Linked DNA regions of Notamacropus eugenii. The protein of the gene in region 1 interacts with the protein of each later gene in a biochemical or structural test. Links are inferred from orthologs where the notes say so. Each region holds a gene or a part of one and is shown in the gene's direction. Other genes may lie near its edges.

Region 1 (7,162 bases):
GGATGATACCAGAAGGACTAAAATGGCCACTTGATCCTTTGACTCAGAGATCTCGCTGCCAGGCACAAGAATGTCCAAGGTAGAAGGAAAGGCCTCACAGACAACAAAATATTTATGGCAGCATTTTTTCTATTGGCAAAGAAGTGGAAACAAAGGAAAGCCCATAAATGAGGAATAATAAGAAAAAAACCTGTGGTATATGAATATATTGGATCATAATAAAGGGTGAATATAAAAAATGCAAAGAAGAATAGATTTATTTGAACTGATACCAAGTAAAGAAAGCGGAGCAGAAAAATAATGTACTTAGTGCATAGGGAAAGAACACCCCAAAACCCCATAAAATGTAACATCATGGAGTAGTGACCAAGCATGTTCCTAAAGAAGAGAAATGAAAATACATGTCCTTTTCTTTGCAGATGGGATGTAATTATGGGTATAGAACCCTGCATATACTGTCAGATTTGGTGTATATATTGGTTAGTTTTGCAAAAACGGCAAATTAAGGAATTGTAAAAAGAAAGGAAAAAAATATGACCAGGAAATGAGAGATGTTCATTGAGTAGAGAAGGGTGAAAGATAAAAGGTGTCTAACTGAATTGCTGCCCTCATACTTAAAGAGCCAGCACATTGGATAGATCTTCCTTGGAAAGGCAATGATAAAGAAGGAGTCTGTTCCAGGCACTAGAGACCTTTCAAGCATAGCACCTGTTCTGGACTATTACCCTAACTTGTACTCACTATGTATTGCTTTCCCTGTTAAGTATGGACTAAAATCTCATCTTCTTTAGGAAGCTTTTATCAATTTCACTTCCATCTGGTGCCTTCTTTCTGTTAATTATTTCTTATTTATCCTTTTTATACCATGTTTGTACACTTTTTTGCTTAATAAATTAAAGTATGTGTTTAATAAATGCTTATTGTCTAACCATTACCACATCTGACTAAATCAGCTATTTAAAGCCGTCCAGAACGTGGCCAGTTTTCAGTTAGCCAATCTCAAGTTGCCCCTCTAATTACATTAGAGGAAGAAGACGATGCCATCAGAGAAATGATGACATGACTTGCAACTGACTCTGTTTTGAGGGAGGGAGGGCTGTGCAGGTCACCAGCCTCACTTCTCCTCCAGAGCCATCTGAATCCAGTGTCTGGATATCCATCAGGATGACTGCAGATGACCCAGGAGGAGGCAGTTGGGGTTAAGTGACTTGCCCAGGGTCACACAGCTAGTGAGTGTCAAGTGTCTGAGGTGAGATTTGAACTGAGGTCCTCCTGACTCCTGCCCTGGTGCTCTATCCACTGCACCACCTAGCTGCCTCAGTACCTAGTTAACAATACCTAGTTCTCTGCCCCTCTACATTCTGCAATTACATCATTGAGGGGGAACCAAATGTTTCCCATCCCGTATATGAGCAAATGTAGGGAGGCTAGATAATTCAGCACAAAACCCTGCATGGTAAGGGGAGCAGTAGAAAATAGAGAAGCAATGGGCCAAGAATGGTCTAGTTTGGCTCGACCTAGTACTTTGGGATAAGGCTATCCAAGTGGATTGGAGCCAGATTGTGAAGGACTCCATAAAGGTCTCTGGCTCATAAGATAAGAAAAGGAGACAGTTCATTTAATTCTGTTTTTCTCCACCTCCCTGGTCTGGTATAATATAGTATGAAGCAGATGCTTGTCAGTGGAAAAAACATATTTAGAGTCAGAAGACTTTAGGACTGGGCAAGTCTCTTCTCTATGAACCTCAGTTTACTCTGTAAAATGAGAATAATATAACAAAAGTGTTTGGGAAAATGGGACCTATAATTATTTCTGTTTTCTGTTTACAACCTTTGTTTTGACAAGAAAGAGGACCTTCCTCTGTCCTAAGAAAAGAGGGGCCTTTGAACAGTTCAGGGTAAGTCTAAGTTTACAGGGTTGTAAGAACAGTTCTGATGAGAGGGAATGGGAGTGGGTTTTGATGATGTACAGCATAAGTTTAGGAAAGACCTCTGAATTTCGAGTCAGGAAGCCTGGCTCCAAGGACTGGCTGGTTCCGTTATTCAAATGACCATCGAAGGTCAGAACTACATTAGACATCTGGACAAAAAAATGTCAGCTGCAATGCATTTTAAGAATCCTCTAGTTTACATCCCTTATTTTATAGACAGGATAAGGACACATTTTGTTCTCATGATAGGGTTGCCAAAGGCACATTGCCTGGGAATGGGAGCTGCTGTTTTCGCCTGTTTGACAGTCTTTCAGAGAATGGTTATTTATATATTCTAAATCAGTAATCCCAGAGGAAGACTGGACAGAAAACTGGTTAGAAAGGGGCAGCTAAGGTGGAACAGTGGATAGAGCAGCAGGCCTGGAGTCAGGAGGACCTGAGTTCAAATCAGACATTTAACACTTTTCTAGCAGTGTGATCCTGGGCAAGTCACTTAACCCCAATTGCCTTGAAAAAAGAAAAGTGGTTGGAGAATGAGAATAACCCTCTGAAGTCCAAGACTGAGGCAGATGCTGAAGTGAAAAAGAGGCATTTCCATCACGGTCCTGGCATAGAGATGGGGCAAATTGGGGCGACTTAACATGAGATAAAATTCAGCACAAGTGGGAAATGGATTCCTTTGAGCAATCCAGAATGTGTAGGTAGAGGATGGGCAAATAGGACCTGGGTATTTAAGAACGGGCTTCAAAATTGGAAAGTACTGTGTCCTTGGATGCATGCAAGAATTTAAACTCTTAGCTGAGGTGCCAGGGAAATCCCTTGACGGGCTAGCTGCTTTCCACTGTTCTTCTGGAGAGGATCATGGTGATAAACAAGTACCATCTTGGTACAGAAGAGCAGCCATGTGTAAGGGATCATAGAAGCAAAGTTGAGTGATGCCATTAGAAAGACGACTACAACTGGCTAGAAGCTTTTGACTGTAGCAAGGAAGGGGATGTTGGATATCTGATGGCATGGAGAAGATAATGGCGCTAAGTTTGAACTGTAGAGCATCGATAAGGCACTGCATTTAATGAGAGCCTTAAAGGGGCCTGGTGTCTCTCAACTCTACAGGTTTCTGAATGGAGGGTTCTTACTGCATGGAGGTGGGAGCATCCCGACATTCTCAACGGCTCAGGTTCAAGATTTTTGAGCTTTCTTTAATTTTTCAACAAAGGTATTCTCCACCTTGAGCCTTGGTTAGCACATGGAGAGCAAAAATAGTGTCTCCCCATGCGGCACTACCAGATGTTCCCACAGTTTCCTTGGGTGCATGCTATGAGCCAGAAAATCAGGAAGCCCCCAAGTGTGCCTGGGCTCTGTGCCTCTGCCTCGTAAAGGGGCTGCGCGAAGGAGGAACCTGGGGCCCGGAGAGGAAGGGACTCGCCCGGGGCGGCCTGAGGGAGAGAGCCGGGAGCCGGCCGGACTTTGACGCCAGACCTCAGGCTCTCCACCACACTCGGCTCCCTGCGCTTGCACCCTGGGCCCCCGTGGGTAACCCACTCGACTTTCCGGCCTCAGTTTCCGGAGCAGAGTCTAGCCTTGCGGCCGGAAGACCCGGGTGAGAATGTCACGCAGACCCAGCTCGAGGAAGCCTCAGTTTCCTCTTTGACAAAAATAAGGACCATTACGCCGAGGGCTGCGAGGTCCCAGGGAGACAGCGCGCGTGGCAGGCTTGGCGGTAAACCTTAGGGGCGCTCCCGGCAGGTAACACCCAGGAATACGCTCCGCGTTAAGGAACCCAGGCCCGCAGGACGCGGCCGCCCCTCCCAGCTCCGGGGCCCAGGGCGGGGGCGGGAGGCTGCGGAGGCGCCGCGGCCGCCCGGGAGCGTGGGGAGGCGCGGCACGCATGCGCCGCCCCCTCCGCCGCGCTAGTCCTTCCCTCCCTCCCGTCGCGCTAGCAGTGTGACAGCGGCGGCCGAGGCGCCCGCAGCCCGAGCCCGCGGCGAGGGAAGGGGGCGGCGGCTCCGCGCGGAGGAAGCCCAGCGGCGGCGGCGAGCCAGGCGGCGGCCGGGCGGCGGGGCGCGCGCTGCGCCCCCCAGGCCAGCGAGAGCCGCGGGCGAGAACGAGCCGCTGCCCGGCGCCCGGGCCCGTGCCGCGGCCGAGGAACCGCCCCCTGCGCGCCGGGCCCCGCGGCGTGTGAGCGCCTCGGCCTCGGCCCCGGCCCGGCCCGCCCGAGCGCGCCGAGCCGCCGCCCCTGCGGCCCGGCCCGGCCGCGTGCGAGGGAGGGAGGCAGGCAGGCAGGCCAGCGGCCCCCGCCCCCGGCCCCGCCATGAGCAACATCGAGATCCCGCCCGGGCTCACGGAGCTCCTGCAGGGCTACACGGTGGAGGTGCTGAGGAACCGCCCCGAAAACCTGGTGGACTTCGCCGTGGACTACTTCACCCGCCTGCGGGACAGCCGCAACGCCGGCGTGGACGGCGACAAGGGCGAGGCCAGAGACATCGAGGACGAGGAAGACGAGGACTTTGAACGTAAGAGCCGGGGCCGCCTCGGACCCCCCAGGGCCCGGCCCCTCCCCCTCCCCCGGCCCGGTCCGCCCGGGCCAACCCGCCCGCCGACTGCGGCCTCCTTCGGGTCTCGGGGGCCCCCGGCCCTCCCTCTGCCGCCGTGGGAGCCCCGCTCTCCCTCCGTCCGCGTCCCCTGTACCGTCCCCCTCCCCCAGACGTTTCTGAGTTCCTCCTGGGAACAACGTTCTGGCAACGGCTTGTGCCCCCGGAGCCCGGAGGGCGGATGCCCCTTGGCACCCTTCGGGGCGGGGGAGAGCTTGCGGGCGGCGCTGGCGCTGTGAAATGCAGAGACCCCAGAGTGACCTCGACTCCTCTGACAGCTAAGGCCTCCGTCCCCCGCGGTCTGGTGGACCCGCTGGTTTGAGATGAGTGTGCCATGTGTGGTACTCCACAAGAAGCAGACCTCCTTATCTTGTTAGAATATGTCACCTTTTGTCCTCCGGGGCTGGGGAGGGGGGTGCTGGAGGGCGGGGAGGTCTCCCCACCGGAGTGTTTTGTCTTAAGAACGAGCACATGAGACTAGGTAGCTGGAGGATTGGATTAATGCCCACCTTCTTAGGGCAGGCCTTCAGTTGGCATACGGGGAAAGCGAAAGCATATGTAATCACTGACAAAAAAAAAAAATTCCTGTCAGAAGGACCATTTTAAAGACCTGCTGGAACGTTTTGGAACTAACATCAGTAATATTTAGAAACCCTAGCGTAATTTAAGGACAATTTAAAATTTGCCTGGTGTTGAACCAGACCTTAGGTACAGTTTAATTTTTTTTTAATGTGTAATTTTGTTTAACATATTTATTTGACTGTTTTTAAAAGGCCTTTAGAACAGTTGTGGAATATTCACTTGGTTTTTGCGTGTGTTGTGGTTCGATGTTAATGAGACTGCAGGGAATTATCCTCATGCATTGAACAGGCTTTCAAAGGCACACATTCATGTTGCAAATATACCGAGCTAGGTATTAAACATACTTGACTTTTAAAACCCAAAATATTTATTTTTTTCCTTTCCAGGTCGCTCAAATCACATCCCTTTTTTAACACACCAGTTAGGAACTAAAACATTGTCTAAATAAATGAATTAAAATTCTAAAATTTCAGTCTCTTCTTCGGTTTTATTTCAAGATAATTAGGCACTGGAACAGGAAAAGCTTGAACATTCTTTTGTTTACATTTCCATCCCAGAACTGACTTGATTTGTTGCAGTTTGAGAAATCTGGTTCTATAATCAGTTTTGTTTCGTTTCTTCATTCACAACCACACACGATTTTATATGTAGAAATTTCTCTAAATAAAATTTGGCTAATGTTTAACGAACTTGTTGGAAGAAAGGAGAAAAGCAACATTGTAATTTAAGGTGCAGCCTATTAGTTAAAATTGTCAAAGAGAAATTATGTTTCCTAGATTGCTTCGGAATGTTTTATGGAGAAGGTAGTCTAGCTTACCTTGAGAAAAACTTGCAGGGGGGACTTGTATTTTCATGGGTACGATTATCAACCACCATGGAACTAATATTTTTAGCCATTTGTGTAGTAGTGGAAAGAGCACTACATTTGGAGTTAGAGCACTTGGGGCTACTGGAAAGTTAGTGGTCCAGTTACTTCTCTCCTGGCCTGTTTTTCATGTGTAAAATGAAAACGTTGGTCTAGATGATTTCTCTTTAAGGTCCTATACCATTCTAAATCCTATGAAGCTATGAATTCCTAAGCTTTTAAGAAAGATGTCTACTGAGGTGCAAGCACCCGACTAGGTACTAGTTAATGATTGACAGATTCATTTTGATAGGCACATATGTTTTCATTCATACCATGAAAGTAAAAAAAAAAAGTCTGTGTTTTAGGAGACCTTTAACTTAACCAAGCTATTTTACAAGGTGTTTTCCAGAAGAGTCCCTGGAATCAGGAGTTGGCTTATTCCAGTTCTGGCTGTGCCATTTGCTTGATGTGTGGCCTTGGATAAGTTGTCAAACCTGTTCTTATTTCAGGCTCCCTTATCTGTAAAATGGGGAGAGCTCTTTTTTTGACCCTCAAAGCAGTATTTTACTTTAGGATTGTTGAAATTTCTGTTACCATCATTTTAAAAATATTTTATTGATGCCTCTTGTTTTTATATATAAGTGATTGGCATGTGATTTCCCCCATTCCCGCACCAAATGAGCCCCTCCTGGTAACAAAACCAAAAGAAAATAAAGACAAAACTGTTAAGGCCAGCCAACCAACCCAGAGACTTCATCTGGATAGTGTATGTAGTATTTCACGCCTTGAGTTCCCCACCTCTCTACTGAAAGGAAAAGAGGCGCTTCATTTCTTCTCAGGGTTTTAGATTAGTCAAGAATTTATTTTAGTATTATTTGGATTTACATTACTGTGGTCATCTTGTTCTCCCAGTTCTGCTTGCTTCATTGGATAGCATTTTAGAGAAATACTGGAAGACTAAATTCCTCATATTTGTTTATTTATGGTACAATAATATTCTGTTCCATTCATATATTATAATTTGTTCAGTTTCCCATTTAGTGGGTACACACTTTTCATTATCATACTTTTTAAAATTTAAATAAAAATTTTCTCTTATGTTATTTTGAACTTTATAAACACTAATAAACATTTTCATATAAATAGAACAGAAAAGAAGGATTGCAAATGGAACCATGAATCTGTACCATGTACAGTTTTTTCCCTTTTAAA
Region 2 (7,570 bases), on another chromosome or scaffold:
CTTAGATAAAGTGAGCAGAATGATGCAAAACAATACAAAACCTGGTACATACTCTGTACCTATGGTGCAAGTGGAGGGGACTTATTACAAGGTTATTGAACTAAGTTGTTGATGCTGGAAGGATCAGCCTAGGAATTTTAAGTGAAGTGAGAAAGAAGATTAATGTGGTTCTTGTATGGAGGACCAATCAGAAGAGGCAGCCCAATTGTGGAATTCTTCTGGAAAGAGGCAATTCAGAAGTATAGGGCTGTCAGGAAGTCATTTGGGAAAAGAGAGAGTTAGACAGGATAGGAGGAACGAGGAGGAAATGAGTCTTTTGTTTTATTCATCATTCTGTTGAGGGGGAGAGTGTGTTCTTTAGAGACTTTTGGTAAAATCTTATAGGAATTTAAAGTACCTACTTGGTACAGCCTTGTAACTTGATCCTTTAATGTTCATAAAATAATGATCATGTTAAGATTGTTATATCTAAGACTGTGTTATAAGACATTTAGAATCACATTTTTAAAAAAATCATCTTGCAATAAACCATTAAAATTTTTCTGCTTAATGTTCTTCTGACCCGGCTTTCAAGCTCTGTCCATCTGTCCTGATCTGACAATTAGGAAAATTTTCGCTTAGCAGAATTGTGTTTATTTTTTTTCCCAGGTTACCTTTCTAGGTTTCAATGAAGAAACAGATGCTGGTCATGTGCAGGTAAAGTAGAATGTGGAGCGTGAAAAGGAACCTCTGTAAGTCATTTCAACGAGCTTCATGATGCCATGAAAATCTTGCCTATCATTATAGTGTACCATTATCTCTTAATTCTTAAAATTGAAACTTGATTTTTTAAAAATTTCTGACAGTGCCTTGGAAGTTTTGTACTTTTTAAAAATTAATTTAATTTTAGTTTTCACCATTCATTTCCACAAGATTTTGAGTTCCAATTTCTTCCCCATCTTTCCCTTCCACCTACCCCAACACAGCATGCATTCTGATTACCCCTTACCCCAATCTGCCCTCGAAGTTTTGTACTTTTAACCTGTTTGAGTTTTCCTTTCATGAAAAAAGTAGTCATAGTAATAGTAATCATAGTAGTCGCAAAAGTGGTCTGAATTGTGCAGACCACAAGCGAACTTCTCTTTAATACAAATTATACATGGTGGGAAAGAAAAAAAATTAGGATTTTTTAAAGTTGTGGTTTTGATAAAATATTTTATCTTAATCTTACATATTTTGATATTTAAATAATATAATAAGTACACAACATTAATTTTATAAGATTAAGTATTATCCAATTTTATATTTTTACCTGATGTAGTTTAGTACAATTTTTGTTAGTATTACAGTGAAGGGATTGAATGTCATCTGAGTTATAGCAAAACAATTTAGTGTGCATGTGCTATATATCTTCTTTTGAATTTGCAACTCTATTTACTGAATTTCAGTTAACTTTGGGCTTTCTTTTATGACATCAGAGTTGCTTTGAGCTCGAGGAAATAGGTGTAAAACGGATTTGTATTAGGTTAATGTGTGTGTTCTACATGTTTTTTATATACTTGTTTCCTGTATTAGAATGTAAAATCTTTGAGAGTAGGGATTGTTTCATACTTTGTACTTTTATCCCCAGGGTCTAGCACCTAGAGTATAGTAAGCACTTAATAAATTCTTGTTGCTTGATTGATTAACCAGTCACAAATCTATGAAGTGTCTCAGGCTAGAGTTGAACTCAGGTCTTCCTGACTTTAAGTGTAGTGCCCTCTCCACTACTCCATGGTGCCTCTCATAAATAATTTTACATATTGACAACCTTTAGGGCAAATCTGTGAACACTCGGTAGTGCAGATAAAAATTTAAGTGAAGTTTATTTTTAAAAATTCTTTGAAAGTTGGTTTTCCGTAAATAGATTTTTTAAACTTATAGACTTTATATTTTATCTGTTAACCAAATAGATTATATTTTCATGGTTAGGGGCTAAATTAAGCATGTCTCATACTTTTTCTATGTGTTTTTAAAATTAGGATTTAGCTACAATTTCTCTGGAACTCCCAGATCTTCTGAATTCTATCCACTTCTGCAGTCTAAGTGAAAAGGAAGTTATTTTTCTGAAGGATATAAAGAAGTCATCAGAAACAAATGCTGATCCTCAAAAACAGGTAAATAAAGTTTTAAACAGTTAGTCATTTTCAAAAGCATTTGGCTCTTCCCTTCCCCCTCCTGCACATATTGAGCAATAAAAAGGAAAAGAAGACTTTTATAACAAATATGTAGTCCTGCAAAACAAATCCCCACATTAGCTATGTCAAAAAAATGTCTGTCACATTATGCATTTTAAATCTATGAACTCTTTGTCAGGAGATGGACAGTGTGTTTCATCTTAAGTTCTCTGATTTACCATTGTTTTATTATTGTATCAATCAATTCTGAAATCTTTCACAGTTGTTTTTTGTTACAGTGTTGTTGTTATTATATAAATTGTTCTCCTAGTTTTGCATGCTTTGTTGTATTATCAGTTTATAAGATCTTTCAGGTTTCCACTAAAACTGTTCATTTCTTAAGCACAAGAATAGTCCAATAATTTACATACCATAATCTGTTTAACTATTTCTTCGTAGCTGGGAATCCCCTTAGTTTATATTTTTGTATATATAGGACACCTTTTCCTTTTTGCTTGATGTCTTGGGTTTGTAGGCCTAGTAGTAGTCTGGCTAGTTGAAATGGTATGCAGAATTTAGTCACTTTGGGGGTATAGTGCATAGTTCCTCCAATGGTGCATTAATGCACCTGTTTTCCCAAAGCTTTTCAACATTTGTCATTTTCCTCTTTTGTTATTTTTGCCAATCAGGCTTAACTTGTTTTTATTTGATTATTAGTGAATGACTTTTTCACATATTTTTCACACGATAGCATGGAATTTTTCCTTTAATAATTGTAGATTCATATCCTTTGACCATATTTATCTATAAGGAATGGCTCTTTCTCTTTAATTTAAATTAGTTCAATATATGTCTTTGATATGAGAGCTTCATTAGAGAAACTTGCTGCAGAAATTTCCGCAGGTACCTTTTCCCCTTCTAATTTTAATAGCATTAGTTTTTATAGGTGCAAAAATCTTTTCAATTTTATATTATCAAAATTACCCAGATTAAAACCTCTCAATAAATTTTTATGATATAAATTTTTCACATCAGAATTTATGTTTTTGGCCAAAACTATTATGAAACTTTTACATAATGGGTTTTTCAGGTTTTTTTCTTCAAGATATTCTTTTTTGTTGTTATTGTTTACTTGTTTCAATTATGTCTGATTTCATAACCCCATTTGGAGTTTTTTGGCAGAGATACTGTAGTGGTTTGCCATTTCCTTCTCCAGTCTATTTTAATGATGAGGAAACTGAGGCAGACAGGGTTAAGTGACCTGCTTAGGGTCATACAGCTGGATTTGAACTCAGGCCTTCCTGACTCCAAGCTTGGCGTTCTATGTCCTGCACCATCTAGCTGCCCAAGGTTTTCTTAAGAAAATATTGTTTATATAGAATATTAAATATTAAATTAAATATTATTAATTATATTATTATATAATATTATTATTATTATGTTATATTGGAACATTATATAACATCATTAATTTAATTAATTAATTTAATTAATATTATTAAATATTAAGTTAAATATTATTTATTACGAAAATATTATTTATATAGATTTGGAGTTAGTATCAAAGAATAGAAGTGTTTTACCATAAAGAATAAATTAATAGTTTATATTAATTAAGTAGATGAGAAATTATATGACTGTTATTCTTTCCCTTGTATGAATTCATCATGTTAAATTTATTGCTCACCTTCTTCAAACACCTGTATATGGGTTGTAAGCATTTAACTCTTCACAGGATGTTCTATGTTTGCTATACATATTTTTGTTATTTGTTTTAGGGCTTGTGTTTAACTTCATCTCCCAAGCAGAAAGAGTCACATAAAGCAGATGACTGGGAATTTGTAATCTTAATATAGTATTTGATTTTTTTTTTCAGAGCATCATAGATTTATTTTTTAAAAAAATTTATTTATTTAACTTTTAACATTCATTTTCACAAAATTTTGGGTTCCAAATTTTCTCCCCATTTGTCCCCCCCCCAAAACACCAAGCATTCTAATTGCCCCTATCACCAATCTGCCCTCTCTTCTATCATCCCTCCCTTCCCTTGTCCCCAACTTCTCTTTTGTCCTGTAGGGCCAGATAACTTTCTATACCCCTTTACCTGTATTTCTTATTTCCTAGTAGCAAGAACAGTACTGGACAGTTGTTCCTATAACTTTGTGTTCCAACTTCTCTTCATCCCTCCCTCCCCACCCATTCCCTTTGGAAGGCAAGCAATTCAGTATAGGCCATGTCTGTGTAGTTTTGCAAATGACTTCCATAATAGTTGTGTTGTGTAAGACTAACTATATTTCCCTCCATCCTATCCTGCCCCCCATTGCTTCTATTCTCTCTTTTGATCCTGTCCCTCCCCAAGAGTGTTGACTTCAAATTGTTCCCTCCTCCCATTGCCCTCCCTTCCATCATCCCGCCTACCCTGCTTATCCCCTTCTCCCCCACTTTCCTGTATTGTAAGATAGGTTTTCATACCAAAATGAGTGTGCATTTTATTCCTTCCTTTAGTGGAATGTGATGAGAGTAAACTTCATGTTTTTCCTCACCTCCCCTCTTTTTCCCTCCACTAAAAAGGCTTTTGCTTGCTTCTTTTATGAGAGATAATTTGCCCCATTCGATTTCTCCCTTTCTCCTCCCAATATATTTCTCTCTCGCCACTTAATTTCATTTTTGTAAGATATGATCCCATCCTATTCAATTCACTCTGTGCTCTCTGTCTCTGTATGTCTGTTTGTGTGTGTGCATGTGTGTGTGTGTGTGTGCCTACCCACTACCCAGATACTGACAAGTTTCAAGAGTTACAAATATTGTCTTTCCATGTAGGAATGTAAACAGTTCTACTTTAGTAAGTCCTTTATGACTTCTCTTTGCTGTTTACCTTTTCATGCTTCTCTTCATTCTTGTGTTTAAAGTCAGATTTTCTTTTCAGCTCTGGTCTTTTCATCAGGAGTGCTTGAAAGTCCTCTATTTCATTGAAAGACCAATTTTTCCCCTGAAGTATTATACTTAGTTTTGCTGGGTAAGTGATTCTTGGTTTTAGTCCTAGTTCCTTTGACTTCTGGAATATCATATTCCACACCCTTTGATCCCTTAATGTAGAAGCTGCTAGATGTTGTGTTATCCTGATTGTATTTCCACAATACTTGCATTGTTTCTTTCTAGCTGCTTGCAGTATTTTCTCCTTGACCAGGGAACTCTGGAATTTGGCCACAATGTTCCTAGGAGTTTCTCTTTTTGGATCTCTTTCAGGAGGTGATCAGTGGATTCCTTGAATACTTATTTTGCCCTCTGGTTCTAGAATCTCAGGGCGGTTTTCCTTGATAATTTCATGAAAGGTGATGTCTAGGCTCTTTTTTTGATCCTGGCTTTCAGGTAGTCCCATAATTTTTAAATTGTCTCTCCTGGATCTATTTCCCAGGTCAGTTGTTTTTCCAATGCGATATTTCACATTATCTTCCATTTTTTCATTCTTCTGGTTTTGTTTTGTGATTTCTTGGTTTCTCATAAAGTCATTAGCCTCCATCTGTTCCATTCTAATTTTGAAAGAACTATTTTCTTCAGTGAGCTTTTGAATCTCCTTTTCCATTTGGCTAATTCTGCTTTTGAAAGCATTCTTCTCCTCATTGGCTTCTTGAACCTCTTTTGCCAATTGAGTTAGCCTATTTTTCAAGGTGTTATTTTCTTCAGCATGTTTTTGGGTCTCCTTTAGCAAGGTGTTGACCTGCTTTTCATGCCTTTCTTGCATCTCTCTCATTTCTCTTCCCAGTTTTTCCTCTACCTCTCTAACTTGATTTTCAAAATCCTTTTTGAGCTCTTCCATGGCCTGAGCCCATTGAATATTTATTTTACCTGTTTGGGATACAGAAGCCTTGATTTCTATATCTTTCCCTGATGGTAAAGCATTGTTCTTCCTCATCTGAAAGGAAGGGAGGAGATATATGTTCACCAAGAAAGTAGCCTTCTGTGGTCTTATTTTTTTCCCCTTTTCTGGGCATTTTCCCAGTAGGTTACTTGACTTCTGAGTTTCCTCTCCACACCCATCTCACCTCCAGATCCACCCAGCCAGGGCTTGGGGTCTGAGATTCAAATGCTGCTTCCCAGCCTCAGGGCTTTTGGTGGGGGTGGGGATGCTATTCAGTGTGAGATCAACTTCAGGTGCTCACTTTGGGGTAGGGCTGCCTGATGGAGCTCAGTTCCCTCAGGGGGTTTATGCAGAGACCTTCAACAATGGATCCCAGCTGCTGCCTGTTCTGGGAGTCCCCCCCCCTTGTCTCCTGCTGCCTCTGCTGCTGCCTCCTGAGGGGGCCTGAGTTATGGGGGCACCCCACTCCCCTCTCTGTGAACCAAAAAGCCCGTCTCACTGACTTTTGCCTCCTGTGGATGGAGGGACCTGCTCGACTGCTGGAGATTCTGTCCCTGAAGCCTTCTAGGATCTGCTCCTCTTGGTGTCTCGCGGCCAAGGCAGGGCTGGGCTCTGCTCCGGGTCTGGTGTGCGAGGGACCTTTCGGGTCAGTTTTTCAGGTCTCTCTGGAACAGAAATCTCCTCTGCTACGTTGTTGTGTGACTTCTGCTGCTCCTGAATTTGTTGGGAGTTCTTCTTTACAGGTATTTCATGGGCTGTGGGTTTGGAGCTAGCATATGTGTATCTGTCTACTCTGCTCTTGGCTCCTCCCCCAGTATTTGATTTTTAAAATGAACATGGACATTTAAAAAAAATTCAGATAGAGGATCAGACAGAGCTTAGGCAGCAATTACTTGTTAACCAAGTATGTGATCTCCTTGTGCATCAGAATGAAGGATTTTATGTCTTGGAAATTTAGATATTTGTGAAGAATATTGTCAAAGATTCCTTTAAAAATTAGGCTTGAAGACTGTGAATTTGCATTTTTATTTGAGATCTGAAAAAGTCCTCCTTATTGTTGAATTTACAATTTCCCATTTCCTCATTTAGGCTTTTTATTCTTATTTAATCTGTAATGCACATGTATGTATATACACATAAACATAGTGCATACTCCTACTTATACACACAATTAACTTTAAGATCCATGATTTCTCTCATGATATACACTTTATTCTCTTAACACTGACATCTGTGTAAAATCTGTTTTCCTTAATTGATCTAATCTTAGGTATGCTTTAAAGTGGTATATTCTAAACATTGTCATAGGTTGTAATAACAGTAACATTTATTAGTAAAATTAAGCAATGTCATAGTTGCTATTCAAACTCAGAGAACCATGGACTTACCTTGTGAGTTTAAGTTTTAAATGAAGCTTAAAAATGTAAGCCTAAAAAGCTGCTACTTATTGATTTAAAAATTACTTTCCTTTCCAAGTTCATGCTACCCAAGCATATCACCAAACTCTTCACCTCCTTTGGAATTTTGTCTCACCTCCATGGATCCTTTTTACTTTTTGCAAAAATGTCAGCATCCA
Region 3 (7,417 bases), on another chromosome or scaffold:
ATTTTTAAAAAAATTTTGAGTTCCAAATTCTCTCTTCTTCTTCCTCCCCTCCCCCCAGATGGTGGCAATATATGTTATACATGTGCAACTTGATGTATACTTGTTCATTGGTTTTATTATTATATTGTCAGAAGATGAGATGTGCATTGTTTCTGGAAACAATTGGTATCATTTTTGGTCATGTTTCTGAAATAAAGTATATAAAAGATATATTTATATCGGTCTTGATTATTAGCTACTTTGCATCTTAAATGGAAGGCAGTTAGATTGCAGGGCCAAGAGTCAGGAAGATTTATCTTCCTAAGTTCAAATCTGGCCTCAGACACTTACTTGCTGTATGACCTTGGGCAAGTCATTTAACCTTGTTTGCCTCAGTTGCTCATCTGTAAAATGAGTTGGAGAAGGAAATGGCAAACCATTTTAGTTATCTCTGCCAAGAAAACCCCAGATGAGGTCACAGAAAGTCAGACATCACTAAAAAACAATTTAACAGCTAATCTCTTAAGTGCTTTTCAGTTCAACAAACATTTATTAAATGGCTACTGGACGCACAGCTTTGTTCTGTGGACTGGTAACACAAAAATAAAAACACAGACATATCTGCCTTGAAGGGACATAAACTCCTCTAGGTAGGATATGACATGTACAGAAATAATAATGACATGAGGTAGAATGTGAAAGGTACAAAGAACAAATCTAAGCAAAGTGCTCTAGGAACATGTAAGGAAGGATCAGGGAAGCTTCCTAGAGAAGGCAATACCTGAGCTGAGCCTTGAAGGAAAGAAGGATTTCAACATCTGGAAATGGGGAAAGAATGTATTCTAGGGGAAAGCCTATCAGAGTGCACAGAGTTGAGAAGAGGTAGAGAAAAAGCTAGTAGGTCAATTATGCTACAAGGTAGAGTGTGTGATGGGAGATAATATAAACTAGGGCTAGAAAGGTTGGATGGAATCAAATTGGAGAAGACTTTCAATGATAGGTCTGTCAATTTTTAGTTTATGGGCACTAAGGAACCTGGGAAGGTTTTGAGTAGGGGAGTGATGTGGGCAGACCTATGACTTAAGTATTTTGGTACTCACTCAGTCAATAAGCACTTGTTAAGCACCTACTATGTGCATCCTGGGTCATCTCCAGTCATCCTGATCTACATCTGGCCACTGGGCCCAGATGACTCTGGAGGAGAAAGTGAGGCCGGTGACCTTGCACAACCCTTCCTCACTCAAATCACAGTCAGTTGCAAAACATATTATCTCCCTGATGTCATGGTCTTCTTCAATAATGGACAAACCACAACACAATCACAACTATGTGTCAGGCACTGTGTTAAGTTACTGCTAGCTGTATAAAAGATAGACTGACAATAACAGAAACTGGAGACAGGGTCATCTGTTATCAGGAAGTTATCAAGGCAAAGGACTGGACTTGATTTTATCAGTATAAGGTGAGAAAACTCCATCTTCCAATACAGAGTAACACCTTCTATACAACTCATAGTGTTAGTTGCCTAGAAAACTGAGAGGTTAAATAACTTGCCCAGATTGACATGGCCAGTGAACGTCAGAGATGAGAGGGGTTCCTGGCTTCTAGACCAGGTCAGCTTTTCTTCTACTATACTATGACATCTCTCATAGAGAAGACAAAAATGAATGTGGGCCTGGACTAAAAGATGGCAGGATTTGAAGAGAAAAGAGTAACCACAGAAGGTAGCATTCTGGGAGAAACTACCCATATTCATCATTATCTTTAGAAAAACAGAATCAGTAGAACTCATACAGACAAATGAATAATGTTCTCTTGAAAGTAGTTACTTGAGGAAATTCCATGTTTATTTTTTTTAATTACTGCATTCATTAAAATGAGTTGGTTCATCTACCATAATAGAAAATCACTCCTATTCACACTTTCATGATTTAACCAACCAACACAACATTATCAAATTTGATAACCTACCTCTAGCAACAGACTTGATCCTGAATGACTTTTGGCTGTTTAAAAAAACAAAAACAAAAACAAATAAACAAAAATCTTACCTTCAAGGATTAAGTCAGTCCTTTACCTCCCACTGAGGTGCTCAAAATTATGTACTACAGGCTCTGAAAGCAGTTTCAGAAGAGAAGTTCTCAAAACGGTCTCCTCCATGGCAGGGTCTCTGAACTCACTTGACAGAGGACAGTCCTCCTGGGGAACCTGAAGAAGGCCTGAGGGAAGAGAAGTTGTTCTAGATGCTATCTTGTTAGAGTACTCTGCTGCTTGAGAGACAGTGATGTTGGTTTTAGTGATACATGGTCCTAAGGTTTTAAAATCTCATTGTGAGAAAATTTTTGTTTTTAAATCTGTCTCTAAGGACATAGAATCCTACTTCTGACAGCTTTGTACAGTGTATGACTTTAGCATTTGACATGAATATTCCTGAGGGCAGGGGATTGGAGCTGACCATAGCTAGCATATATTGGTAAAAGGTCTGAATTGAAATCACAGCTTTCCTATTTGCTATGTATGACTAAAGGCCAAGTAACCATTCTGACCCTCAATCCTTATGAAAGAAATCAGTCATCTCCTTTCCTTAGGATACCCCCAGACATTTTCTGCTTATATGCCAACCACTCTTTGCTCCCAAGTAAGGTACTAGGGGCAGCTAGATGGCACAGTGGATAGAGTTCCAGGCCTAGAGTCAAGAAGACCTCAGTTCAAATCCAGCTTCAGATACTCACTAACTGTGTGATCCAGGCAAGTCACTTAATCCTGTTTGCCTCAGTTTCCTCATCTGTAAAATGATCTGAAGAAAGAAAAGACAAACCACTCTGGTTTCTTTGCCAAGAAAACCTCAAATGGAATCATGAAGAGTGGAATACAACTGAAAAAAAAAGGACAACTGAACAACAAGGTTTTGATCTCGGTCTCCTCTAACCTTGTCCTCCCTCTTAAAACAGCTTCTAGGATCAGTTTATCAGAGGTTGCTTTGGCCTGTTGGGGCTATCTTAGCTAGCTTGTGCCCAGAGCTTCCCAGGAAATTTCTGGAACATGATCACTCAGAGATGATAAACTCCTTGGAGGCTTTGTAGTCACATGTTGGCTCAGTGGGTAAAGGACTTGGTGCTTTGATACCAGGATACCCTTTGCAGGATGCTATGCTGGAGGAGCTGATGATTCAATGGGCATTTTAAAAAGAGAGAGAAGTTCAGGCTCTCCTGAGGCCCTACAGGCAGCATCACTTAACAGATTTCTTGCAGTAAGGGGTGAGGGTTTCAGATAAGCAGGCTGGCCCTGCTCCACTCCAGAACTATAGCTACCTTTCTCGTGGGGCAACTCCCATAAGGAGGCTTCTTTAGGGAAGTTTGCATCTAGGCCTCTGACCAGCTCTGTGCACTGTGTGATTGATAAATGCTAGCTAACTGACTAAATGTTTCCTTTCACTCAAGTAGTTGACTGAACATCAAAAGGGACACATCTAGGCTTGGAGGTAGAGAGGTCCATTAACAGAAGTTGACTGGAAGCAGGGAATTTCTGTACTGAAGAAAATGGAAGGGGAGGCTAAGGTCCTGACTTGGCTTGCCAGAGGACTTGAACTTTGACGGAAGCAGTGCAGAGCTGAGGGGAAATGGAAAATGCTTAATGAGCAGTCCTGCACACTTTTATGTTCAGATGAGGTTTTAAGTTATCAGCTTCCCAGCAGATTATAACAATAGTTAGAAGCTGTTTCTGATTCCTGTTTGGAAGTTGTTCTGCACAGGTTTGCTATGAGGTCATCTGGGTTTAGCATTTCTTTTGCCCGGAGGACTAAAATGCCCGTCTCATACCCAAATCATATTGTTAGCTGAGTACTTTTATACTCCTCCTTTTGGGGATTACCTGAACACTAGTCCCAAAGCCAATCTTTAAATAATTTCTCCCTGGACTGTCCTGGAGGGCGATTAAGGAGTACGAGAGACAACCCAGTTCTTCTCTCATTAGAAACCAGGCTCCCCTGGGGCTTGAACCCCATCTGCACCAAATGTCCCAGTCCGGGGTTGAAAGGGGATGGGCTTAGTCCTAGAAGCTGAAACCAGCGTCGCTTCCTTAATGCTGGATTAGAAGCAGAGGGTCAGTTAACTCCTCTGTGGGCAGAGAGGCGGGGACCCTGTCCTCCACGTATTGCACCCCATGGGGGCTCTCAGGAACCCTGGGGACAAAACGGAAGTGCCCTGCGGCTCGAAGCCCGGACTGCCTGCAGTCTAGCCCGGTCAGGCGGGTGTGCAACAGGTGGGAAGTGTGAGCTTCCCGCAGCGCCCCAGCAGGCCTGTTTGGCAGATTTACTCCTCACGTCTGCCCAGCCCAGGAGAGGTGGTGGGTGCGGTGCGTCTGCGAGGTGGGGCGCAGCGTCCACGTCTTCCCAGGAGCTCAGGGCCTTATTTACCCCCAAAGGCAAGGGGGAAGGGAGAAGGGAGGAGGGGAAAGAAAACCGCAGCCGAGGAGCTCAGTCCTCGGGCCGGGACTAGGAGGGAGGGCCCGAGGCTGTCTCCTCCCCTCGTCAGCCCCTTCCCCGCCCCGTAGGAGGGGGCTGTTATAAGGCGGAAGGTTCCAGGTCCTGTGACTCGAGTCAGGCGGCGTGTAGACCGCGGAGGAGGGAGTGGAAAGTTGCTGCGACCAAGTTGAGAGTTAGAAGAAAGTTCTGCGAGTTCTGCGCTGTCCCCGGGCGCCTGCATCGCGGAGCGGGGGACACCTGGGCCCGGGACTCGGAGCCGCGGCGGGGATGGCTGGAGGGGCGTCCGGGGAGCCCGGCCCGGGGCCGGCTGCGAGCGCCGCGGTGCCCGACATCCAGGAGCACCTCTTCAAGGTGCTGGTCATCGGCGAGCTTGGGGTGGGCAAGACGAGCATCATCAAGAGGTACGTGCACCAGCTCTTCTCTCAGCACTACCGGGCCACCATCGGCGTGGACTTCGCCCTCAAAGTCCTCAACTGGGACAGCAGGACCCTGGTCCGGCTGCAGCTCTGGGATATTGCCGGTAAGGGATGGGGACCCCGCCAGGGTCCTGCCTCCTCCGCCCCCCGCTCCGCTTCCTTTAGGTGCCAGCTACGGTCCCGCCTCCTGCGGGGAGGCTTCCCCAACCCAACCCGTTCCAGGGCCTCCCCTCTGCTAATTATGTCTTGTTTATCCAGAATTTAGGGGGGTGTGTGTGTGTGTGTGTGTGTGTGTGTGTGTGTGTGTGTGTGTGTGTGTGTGTGTGTGTGTGTGTGTGTGTGTGTGTGTGTGTGTGTGTGTGTGTGTGTGTGTGTGTGTGTGTGTGTGTGTGTGTGTGTGTGTGTGTGTGTGTGTGTGTGTGTGTGTGTGTACATGTTTGCAAGTTCTCTCCTTCATTAGACCGTAAGTTTCTTGAAGACAAGCCCAGCCTTCTGCTGCTTCTTTGTATCCATCGCTCTTAGCACAGTGCCTGATACATAGTGATTGCCTAATAAATACTGATTGACTGTGGCACGATTGGTGGTTCTCAGTGCCTCCTCATCTGTCCTGGAGGCAGCTTCGGGGCGTCAGCTGTTTATTGATTCATTGATTGTCCTGGGTGCTTCCTCCCCAGGAGAAGGCAGCTGGGTTGGGGGCATCCACTGCGCACTTGGGCCCAGAAGGGAGTTGCTGCAGATGTTCAGCTTCCCCAGTTTTGAAATTAAAAGACTTTAATTAATGTCTCTCATGATGTATAGAGAGCGGGCCCGGGGTCAGGAAGACCTGTGTTCAAATTCTGAGCAGGGCACATACTATCTTTGTGATCCTGGGCACTGAAAATCTCTTAAGTCACTTAACCTTAGTGCCCAAGTCAGTTCTCTTTAAGGCAAAAATTGAGGCGCGGGAGCTGAAATGCCTTGATAGAGTTTACTCGCTGGGCGTTCACTGTGCCAAGGATATCATAAGTACAGCCCTCCTCTCCTCCACCCCATTCCAGTAAATAAATAAAAATCAGTGCTGAGTTTCTGCCTTCCTAGGAGTCTTCCTAGGGGAAAAAATAACCACACACACACACAAAAACCCCACAGACAACAATAATAACAAACTTGGTAGGGAAACAGAACTCTTTTTAGGATGGTACTGAAACTTATTTTTTAAATCTGAATCCTTAAATCGCCATGCTGGATATACCCATTTTTCTGCCAAATATAGGACAGGAAAGGGAAACAGTTAAAAAGAGTAATTTATCTGCTGGCTGGAAATTGACCAATGCAGGATCCTAAGCAAATTTAAATAGCAATTCTTCGCTGACTTAGAAAAAAACAAAACGAGGTGGTGACAATTGAGCATTTAAAGAGATTTTAAAATGTGCCAGGCAGGAACCATAGCTGGAGAGAAGGGAATGCAGGCTTCTATGAGGGCTTCAACTGTCTTCACTTTTCTTTGTATTCATATCCTCTTTGCCTGAGCCTTACCCTTAATAGGCCAGTAGGCCCTTAAACTTTGATAAGTAGCTACTTTGTGCCAGGCACAGTAGTAACCCCTGGGTATAAAGGAGGCAAAAGACTGTACCTGCCCTCATGGAGCTTGCTTGTTTGAATTTGTTTAAAGAGATGCTTGGCAGAATAGGTTGGTTGGAAATTTTTTAAGGAGCAGGAAGCAAGAAATAATCTTAGCTAGCAGTAAGTCACACAAGTTGAACTTAAAGAGTGCTCTAAAGTTCACAGTGAGCTTTTGGGGAATTGAAGTAGTCCAAGAATTCTTTTCAGAAGTTATCTTTTTTTCTTTTTGGTAAACATTTTATATGTGTTCTAACACTTAATAACAACAAAAGTAGGAAACAGGAGATTGATAGAGCTGAGTGGGTCCTTATCAGTCAACTGATTATCTTATAGAAATAAGGAAACTGAGGCCCTTAGGCCCTTAGTAACCCCAAGGTTGCGCAGCTAACTGCTGTTAGAAACCCCAGGCTCTTGTCCTATACGGTTTAGAAATCCATGCCTAAAGCTACTTTTGTTGAGAAAATATTTCCCTCTTTTTAAATCTCAGTTATGGAAATGCTTATATAAATTGTACTTTGCTTAGAGTCAGTCAGTGATTAATATGAAATGAAGTTTCCAGACCTTGGCTCAACCTTCCTGCCAGTGACTTTTCAGAAGCCATCCGTTGAAAAGTCTTCTTTGTAAGCCACATAAATATGAGAGAAATCTCTTTTGAAATACTTCCTGTGATTGCACAGAACTCAATAACTGTCTTGCTTCCTAACAAAATCTGTCCTTTTAAATAGTTCTTCAGCATGTGATCATCATTCTTTTTGAGACCTCTTTTCAGTTGTGGCCTTTTGTCTAAATGGAATTTAAACATGATGACTGACTCTTTTTTTATTTTTATTTTTCAAAGCAATCAGAAATTAAGTGACTTCCCCAGGGCCACATAGCTACTAAGTATCAAATGTCGGAGACCCTATTTGAACTCAGATCCTCCTGACTCCAGGGCCAG
Region 4 (7,673 bases), on another chromosome or scaffold:
TTCAGTGTTCTACAATCACTTCCATATATCTTAGATTTTTTTCCCCCTCCCCCACCTTTCCCCCTCCTTTCCCACTCTCTCCCTGAGACAGCATACAATTTTATATAGGTTCTACACATACATTCCTATTAAATACATTTTCACCTTAGTCATGTTGCATAGAAGAATTAAAATGAATTGGAGAAACCATAAAACAAAACATAATACAAAAGAAAATGATCTGCTTCATTCTGCGATCGAATTTCATAATTCTTTCTCTGAATGTGGAAGGCATTTTGCCTCAAGAGTCCATTGGGAATTTTTTAAGTCCTTCAATTGCTATGAAGTACTAAGTCTACCAGAAAAATTCCTCGAACACTGTGATTGTTGCTGTGTACAAAGTTCTCCTGGTTTTAATTAGCTTTTAGAAAGGGGCATTTTACCATAGTGATATTGTTGGTACAAAATACTCCCCTAAAAATCTGTACCACATTCTCCCACAAGTACATAGCAAGAGGGCCCTAGCTGCAAGTGGGCTCACGTTATTGAGAATGTATGGTGATGGGGTAACTCACCGCTCCTGAAATTTGTTTTTTTTATAGTAATCCTCAAGATGTCTCCATTAGGTATGGTGCAGTCCTTCTGCTGAATTCCTTGTAGACCTCTGAATCTGCCTTTCCTCAGCCTGGTCCAGTGATGCTGATAAGAGGTCTAGGAAATCCCAGATCCTCCAGACCCTTCAAAGTTGACATGGTCTTCCTCTTTGCAAAGATGGGAGGGGAAGGAGTATGAGACCAAGGACCAAGTAAGCCTTATTTTTCTCTTCTTCTCCCCACCATGCCAGGCAATTCTTTCTGAAGGGCTATCTATCTATCTATCTATCTATCTATCTATCTATCTATCTATCTATCTATCTATCATCTATTTCACCCTAAGTTACCAGGAGTTGAATCCAAGCTGGCTGGATGTTTTTTAAATGACCCTCATGATACAAATAAGTTATCTTAACCAATTGTAAAAAGACTTGCTATGCACAATTATTCCAGTTCATTCAATGATTTTCAAGAACTTCTACAATGATCAAAGATTTTTTCATACTTCACCTAAAGCCTATGATCGATTGGTTAAAGTCTAGACCTAGGTCATGCCTAATTTTACCCCTTGAATTCACTAATTGTCCTTTCCTGACAGAGTTGAGAACACTCTGGGTGTAGCACCTTGTAACTTATTTGAGTGGGGTGGCATGATTGGATTGAATTGAGTCAATTGATCTCCACTCTTACACTTAATTGTTGACCTGGGCAATAGTTGTAGGTCCAAGAGTCCCTTCCAGGCCACTTGAGCTGAGGCAGAGTGGAAATAGCTTCCTTGAAAATGAGGACAGTGGGTCCTAGAGCAGGCTTGTAGAGCATGTAGGATTTTGGGGGGCCAGTGAAAAATATACGGTTACCACTACACCTTCTCTGCTGCTTATCACATGACCCAAAGCAATCAACCATCACCAGTCTGTCTCTAGTCTAACCCATCTGCTGCCCAAAGACAGAGTGGAGAGTCAAGTGGTTTAGCTCCTCCCTAGTATGGCTTCTGGTGGTCCTGTTTGGAGAGTGAAAAATGTCAAGGGTAAAGATGACAAAGACTTAAGCAAGTAGAAATAATTGATAACTAATATCATGTTCTCCTGTGAGGTTGATACCTAAAGCAATGAGGGACCATTTTATGGGTCTGATGGATGTGTATTCCACCTTTGGCTCAGTTCTGCACTGTCTTCCTCCAGGTCAACATCTTCTGGCAAGCTAGATCAGAAGTCAAATTCCTTTTTCTGTTGGCCATCCTTCTGTTTTGAATCAGCTTCAACTAGGGGCCCCAGGAGATCCTGACTTCTTAAACCCATGAGGCTGCCTTTAAGATTAGTCAGAGCTATTGCAGGATCAATATTCAGTCATTGATGCTTAGAGGCAGAACATAGAACAGATGAGGCAGCCAGGGGCACAAGGCCCAGTCTTAGGCTCAGGCTCCCCTAGACGGGACACATATTCTGTGCTCTGCTCTAGAAGCTGCCATGCTGCCAGGCCCCAGGTGGGGGTGGATGGGCGTCTCTTCTACCTCTCACCAGAAATCTGAGTTACTCCTTTTAAAGCCTTCTTTATGAATGGCTCTTCTTATCTCAATAGCCAATCCTCTAACGCATTCTCTCCAATTCACAACCCTCACCCTAGATGGGGAGTGAGAAAACAAGGTTTCCAACGAAGAGACCACTGAGGGTTTTTCTATGTCATCAGAAAGCAGCAAGTCCTTCATACTTACCTACATGGTGTCCCTACAAGTTGCCAGGAGAACTCAGCATTATGCCTCATGATGAGTACTCCAATCTAACCCCTGATATATAAGTATTTCACCATTCCACTCCTTGGGTTTAGTTCACCCTTTTGTCCAACCCATTTGTATTATCTCTACCCTATGTGGTCATTTTCCAGTATTTTATTTATAGCTTTAGTATGTGTATATAATATTTCATCTATGACATATAAATATAATACATAATAAACATAAATATTTATACATAGTATATATATATGCTTTTAAAAAGCAAGCCTTCTAGATCTCTTCTACATTAAAAAAACTACATTTACAATTTAACAGACATTTGTCCCTGACCTACAGAATACCCCCAACTTTACAAACACTAATTAAACATCAATTCTTCCTCCTAATGGAGGTTTTTATTATTATGATCCACATAATTTGTGGGGACAAAGGCCCATCACTGATGAGAATCTGGTAGCAGAATATAATCCATTGTATGGTACACAGCAGAAATTTACCAACTCTACAGACCTACTGTCATTAAAAATCCTGGAGACAGGCGTCTTTTTGTATCAAAAAGTTATAGAAGTGTTAAGAAGTCTAACACACATGTAGGAGTGGACAGGGGAGGATGCAATTAAACCCCAAAAATCCTTTGATGAATTTTAACCAAGCCTAATACACATTTGCATTTAATAAAAGCCTGGTTTGAAAGAATTATTTAAAATGTCAATTTTAATGATGTGTTTTAAAAATAATTCTTCTCTAGTGACTTCTCACAGAACTCTCTGTGAGACAAGCTAGTTGGTCTCAGTGTGGAACAGACCAGACAAGGGCTGGGGAACCTTCAGCCTCTAGGTGATCAAGCGCAGCCCTTTGACTTAATCCAAACTTCACAGAATAAATCCCCACAAGGATTTGTTCTGTAAAACTTGGACTCAGTCAAGAGGCTGCACCCAAGGATCTAGGAGGCCATATGTGGCCTCGAGGCCCCAGGTTCCCCACCCTTGGATCAGAGACTCTTCCACGGGGGAAGTCAGCCTTCAGAGTGAGAAGGTGTCTCCAGGTCCAATCCCTCCCTCCAGGCCCTCCTGGGACAGTCGCGGAGCCTGTTTCCTAGGCAGCCAAGGAGCCAGCAGTGCCTACCTCCCCTCTGGTGAGCCTCTTTGCTCATGAATCATAATCCCACAATTAGGACAACTGGTGGAGCACGTTTCATCTTCACCTTGATGGCTTTGTTCAAATGGCAAGGAACCCTTTATCTTGGGTTTTAGGTACCAGCGATCCGCAGGGACACAGCCTTTCGCCGTCCCATCGGAGGCACATGTGGGCTGGGGGGCGCTCCCCAGGAACTTTTATTTTTTTAATAGCCTGAGTGCTAATGCTAATGTCTCCAGCTGGTCCTGTACCTAGCTACTGTGCTATGGTGGTTTGGCCATCATCTCTCCCGTTACAACGCCAGCGCCCTGACAGCAAGGACTGGGGTTTTCTGCCTTTCTTTGTATCCCTAGCACATTGCACTGTGTTTGGCACGAAGTGGGCACTCAGTGCTTGAGTCCTCCCTACGGCAGAAAAGCTTTGTTAGAGTTGGAGGGGACCTTTCAGAGGAGACGAGTGAGGTCCAGAAAGGGAAGGCGACTTGTCTAAGGTCACTCTGCAAGGTGGTGGCTGAGCTGAGACTACTGTCCAAGGTCACAGAAGGAGGAAGGGAAGGCTCACGCCGGGGTCACCCCCTACACCGCCTCCCTAACACTTAGGTCCAGACTCGTACAGAGTTTGGGCTCCCAGGTCTGAGCCAGAGAAGATGGAACACACGGTCAACTCTCCGCAGAGGAGAGGGACAAGCAAATTAAGGAGCGAGGGATGCTGAGTGCGCGTGCGCAGCGGGGAAAGGCACTGTTGGGGGAGCAGAGGAGCCAAAGGACGGGAAAGATGGATCATTGGGCCACGCGTGCGCAGGAGGAGAAGGCGGGGTTGTAAGGAGTTGGGTGGGGGCGGGGGAGAAAGGAGGGAGGGAGGACGGGAGCGTGGAACCCGTGCGTGCGTAAGTGAATGAAGGCAGGGCGGTAGGTGGAGGGCAGGGAAGCATGGAATTGCGCGTGCGTGAAGGAGAGGCAGCAAGGAGTTGGGTGTGGGCGGGGCGGAGAAGGTGGAGCAGTGCGCGTGCGTAGTGTCTTAGAGGCGGAGCCGAGGGTAAACCGCGAGGAGCTGGGAGGCGGAGCGGAGGAGGGGGGCGGGGTTTCTCAGCGCGTGCACGTTGTCGGCGCGCGCCTTCACTATTTAAAGTCTCAGAGTTCCCCTAGCCAGGCTGAGCACGTGGGGGAGCGGCCCGAGCCGAACCGAGTCGCTGGGCCGAGGCGGAGAAGGGGGCGGCGGCGGGGTCGGGGGTGGGCGGGGGCAGCGGTAGCTGCACGTGAACTGACTGCTCCTGGGGGGGCGATCGCCTAAGAGCTCGTAAGTGTGGGTGATCGGGGTGGGGGGGGGAGATCTCCCCGCCTCTGCCCCGGCTGGGTTGGGAGGCAGCGGTCGGCGGGCGTTTGGCCCCGGGCTCTCCTCTTCACTTCCACGCCTGTCCTGTCTTCCCGGCTCGTGGGGACAGCTGAGAGGTGCGGGGGAAGCCCGGGGCGGAGCAGCGACCCCTCCTTGCCCTCGTTCTCCCAGCCATGTGTGTCCGCACCTTCCCCAGCGCCGCCGTCCTCGGCCGGTCCTGGGCTGGTGCTTCCCTCTAACTTCTCCTTCTGGCCGCTCCTCCCTCCCTGCCCGGCTGCCCGCGCCGCGCGCTCCGCTTCGAGAAAGCCGCCGAGCTGAGCGTGTCCCACCCAAGGTCGCCCGGCTCCGCGTGCGTTTACTTTCCAAAGGTCGTGTGTACCCAGCCCGAGCGGGCAGAGGGGGCCTTGGGATAGAACCGGATGCCAAGGGCGCAGCCCTGGCGTGGGGTGGGGCCGGGGGTGGGGTCCGAGGACTGGCTCTCCCGCCCCCCTCCTTGCCCACCCAGCTCCTAGAGATACTAGCCTTGAACAGCAACTGAAGAAAAATGTCATCCGCCCTTAGGCCCCGGTCCCGTTCCCGGTCCCGTCCCAGGTCCGAGTGAGGCAGGTGGTAACCGAGAGCCAGGCCCCTTGATAGCTTAACTGATGTGGCTTTGCTCCGTGGTAGACGTTAGCGGAGAAGTATTTTGCCAAATCGACCGTGTGAGCCCGGGGATGAGTGCTGAGGAACGAGGAGAAAAACCCTTCTTGGCTAGTGTTTGGGGAGAGGAAGCAATGGGACGTGATGGAGACTCCAAAGCAGGAGTTGTCACGCCTAGAGAAAAGCTGGTGGAGTTCCGTGCTTCGTGGGAGAGGCCCCCGGGGTGGTTGTTGGACGAATGTTACCGAGCAGAGGGGATTCCCCCAGGACCTGCGGCAGCGACCTGGGTGCTGGGTCTCTTGGGGGGGCGCACGCACCTGTTTGCAATCACAGCTTAAAACAAAGCTAGAGAGAAGGTGCTTGGGCAGGACTCGACTCAGCCTCAGGACAGAGGGGGCGGGCGCTGAGTTGGGCCAGCCTTTCTTTTCTCTCTAGTGGCTCTCAGCGCTATTGGACGGCAGCTGGCAGAAAGTGCATGAGACTAACGGGTTTTTGTTTTGTGTTTTTGGCCCTGTGCTGTTCATTGAGTCTACGGGAAGTGCCTGAAGGTTATGTAACTGAGATCCAGTTGTTTTTTCCTTTCCCCTTCTTTAGGAAAACTTATTCCACCCTCACTTTCCTGGGGGCAGAATTGGGAAGTGGAGGTGAACGACAAGCAGAAGGTGTGTAAACTGGGGGCAAGGTCAGGTGTCAAAATAGAAACAGGCTGACATTTTGATCCTAGTTCTGGTAGCAGATGCCCTTTCCAGCAGGTTCCCACTTTCCCCATCTGCTGTTACCGATAACTAGTTGTCTTTGCTCTAAGTGAAGGTAGAAACACCTAAAGAGAAACCTTTTAAGTTGGTATAGTGTGAATTTTTTTTTTAAAAGAGGCTAGTTTAACTATTGTCCTCTAACTTAAGCACAGACTACTTGGTATTTGAGTATTTCTACGAAGTGAAACCAATCTCAGCTGAAACGACTTTGTACAGCCTGCACAATCTTCTCCCTCTCCTCTCCTCCCCTCCCCGCGCGAGTTTTAATCACCAATGAGGGAAGGGTTCTTTGTTAACACAATTTAAATAAACATAAATCATGTAGGAATCATAAATTGAGGTACCTATAATCTATAATAGGAACTAAATCCAAAACTTGTTGGCCCTTCCATTGTTTTATAGCCCATGTTATGTGTAGAAAACAAAGCTTTGGCTGGCTAGAAGTGAACTGTTCTTAATACTTAAATGATACTTTGTACTGTTTTTTTAAAAACAAAAACAATAAAAACCCTGTAGTATCACTTGGTATTACCTGATTGTCTTCATTTGGATTCACTCTGCCTGTTAGCAGTAAAGTGGAGTTTCTTTCCTGTTCACCTCGGAAGAGATCTCAGCCCTTTCTCTTTTCAAAGCACGTGTAGCAGTAAAAGGATCAGAATTTAAGAATCCCTCAAAGAACCAAACTAACATTTAACACTGCAGTTTTTTAAATCCCTAAGGCAAAATAGGATAATAATTTTTATTCCAAATAAAATAACATGTGCTTTTAATTATTTGTGTTTAAAGGGCAAGTAAATGAGATTGTGTTTTTATAAGGGCTTTATCTCTTCCTAGTTATGTGACTGAAGTGTAAGTGCTAGGGTGAGATTCTTTAGTTGAACTCCCTCTTTTTTCTTTTCTTTTTTTTTTTTTAACCAGGTCAATTAACAAGCATTTATTAAGTCCCATTCTATGTGCTCTTTGCTGGGTAAACTGCTGGGCATAAAAATACAGGACTGAAAAGAACCTGGGGCAAAGAGAACTGAAGAAAACAAATATTTTTAAAGTGCTTACTATGTTAGATATTGGAGATTAAAAGGAGGAAAAGATACCAGCTTTCCAAAAATTACTGCCTATGGGGAAGACAATGTATGTATGTACCTGTGTTCAGAATAAATGTAAGATAGTTGGGAGGGGACACAGTTGCACAGAGTATTAAGTAGCGTAGCCTGGATTGGAAGCCACTTTTCAGTCCAATGTACGTGGCTCTTTGCAGTGGAAAAGAGAACTTGTTTGGATTATGGTGATAAAATAAGGAGCGCCAACTGTAAGACTCCCTTGACACCCTGCTAGGTATATGGAGATCAGTTGAAGGGACTAGAATTCCAAGGGTTATTCTTACATTAGATGATACTCCAGAAATTGTAGATAATTGACTTGAGTGAGTTTGGCAGTAGTTAAATGCTTACTTAATTCTCCCCTCTCTCCCCCATTTATCAAACGCTCCTACCCACAAGACAAAAGCCA

The links.
Region 2: the proteins of PRKAR2A (region 1) and AKAP11 form a complex in vitro, tested with the Homo sapiens proteins (2 studies listed by BioGRID, with this or other methods). The link is inferred for Notamacropus eugenii from reciprocal best matches to the Homo sapiens genes PRKAR2A and AKAP11.
Region 3: the proteins of PRKAR2A (region 1) and RAB32 interact in a test that uses a peptide from one of them, tested with the Homo sapiens proteins (2 studies listed by BioGRID, with this or other methods). The link is inferred for Notamacropus eugenii from reciprocal best matches to the Homo sapiens genes PRKAR2A and RAB32.
Region 4: the proteins of PRKAR2A (region 1) and AKAP1 form a complex in vitro, tested with the Homo sapiens proteins (2 studies listed by BioGRID, with this or other methods). The link is inferred for Notamacropus eugenii from reciprocal best matches to the Homo sapiens genes PRKAR2A and AKAP1.

The regions. Positions count from the first base shown.
Region 1 is NC_092872.1:7,586,247-7,593,408, forward strand, and holds the start of PRKAR2A (cAMP-dependent protein kinase type II-alpha regulatory subunit), read left to right. Parts: upstream 1-4,157; 5' UTR 4,158-4,241; coding exon 4,242-4,443; intron 4,444-4,565; exon of another isoform or gene 4,566-4,844; coding exon of another isoform or gene 4,845-4,893; intron 4,894-7,162. UniProt on the Homo sapiens protein: Regulatory subunit of the cAMP-dependent protein kinases involved in cAMP signaling in cells. Type II regulatory chains mediate membrane association by binding to anchoring proteins, including the MAP2 kinase.
Region 2 is NC_092877.1:292,373,606-292,381,175, forward strand, and holds the start of AKAP11 (A-kinase anchor protein 11), read left to right. Parts: upstream 1-4,563; 5' UTR 4,564-6,314; coding exon 6,315-6,737; intron 6,738-7,570. UniProt on the Homo sapiens protein: Binds to type II regulatory subunits of protein kinase A and anchors/targets them.
Region 3 is NC_092873.1:238,083,198-238,090,614, forward strand, and holds the start of RAB32 (ras-related protein Rab-32), read left to right. Parts: upstream 1-4,412; 5' UTR 4,413-4,729; coding exon 4,730-4,982; intron 4,983-7,417. UniProt on the Homo sapiens protein: The small GTPases Rab are key regulators of intracellular membrane trafficking, from the formation of transport vesicles to their fusion with membranes.
Region 4 is NC_092873.1:369,175,972-369,183,644, forward strand, and holds the start of AKAP1 (A-kinase anchor protein 1, mitochondrial), read left to right. Parts: upstream 1-4,653; 5' UTR 4,654-4,737; intron 4,738-6,006; exon of another isoform or gene 6,007-6,074; intron 6,075-7,673.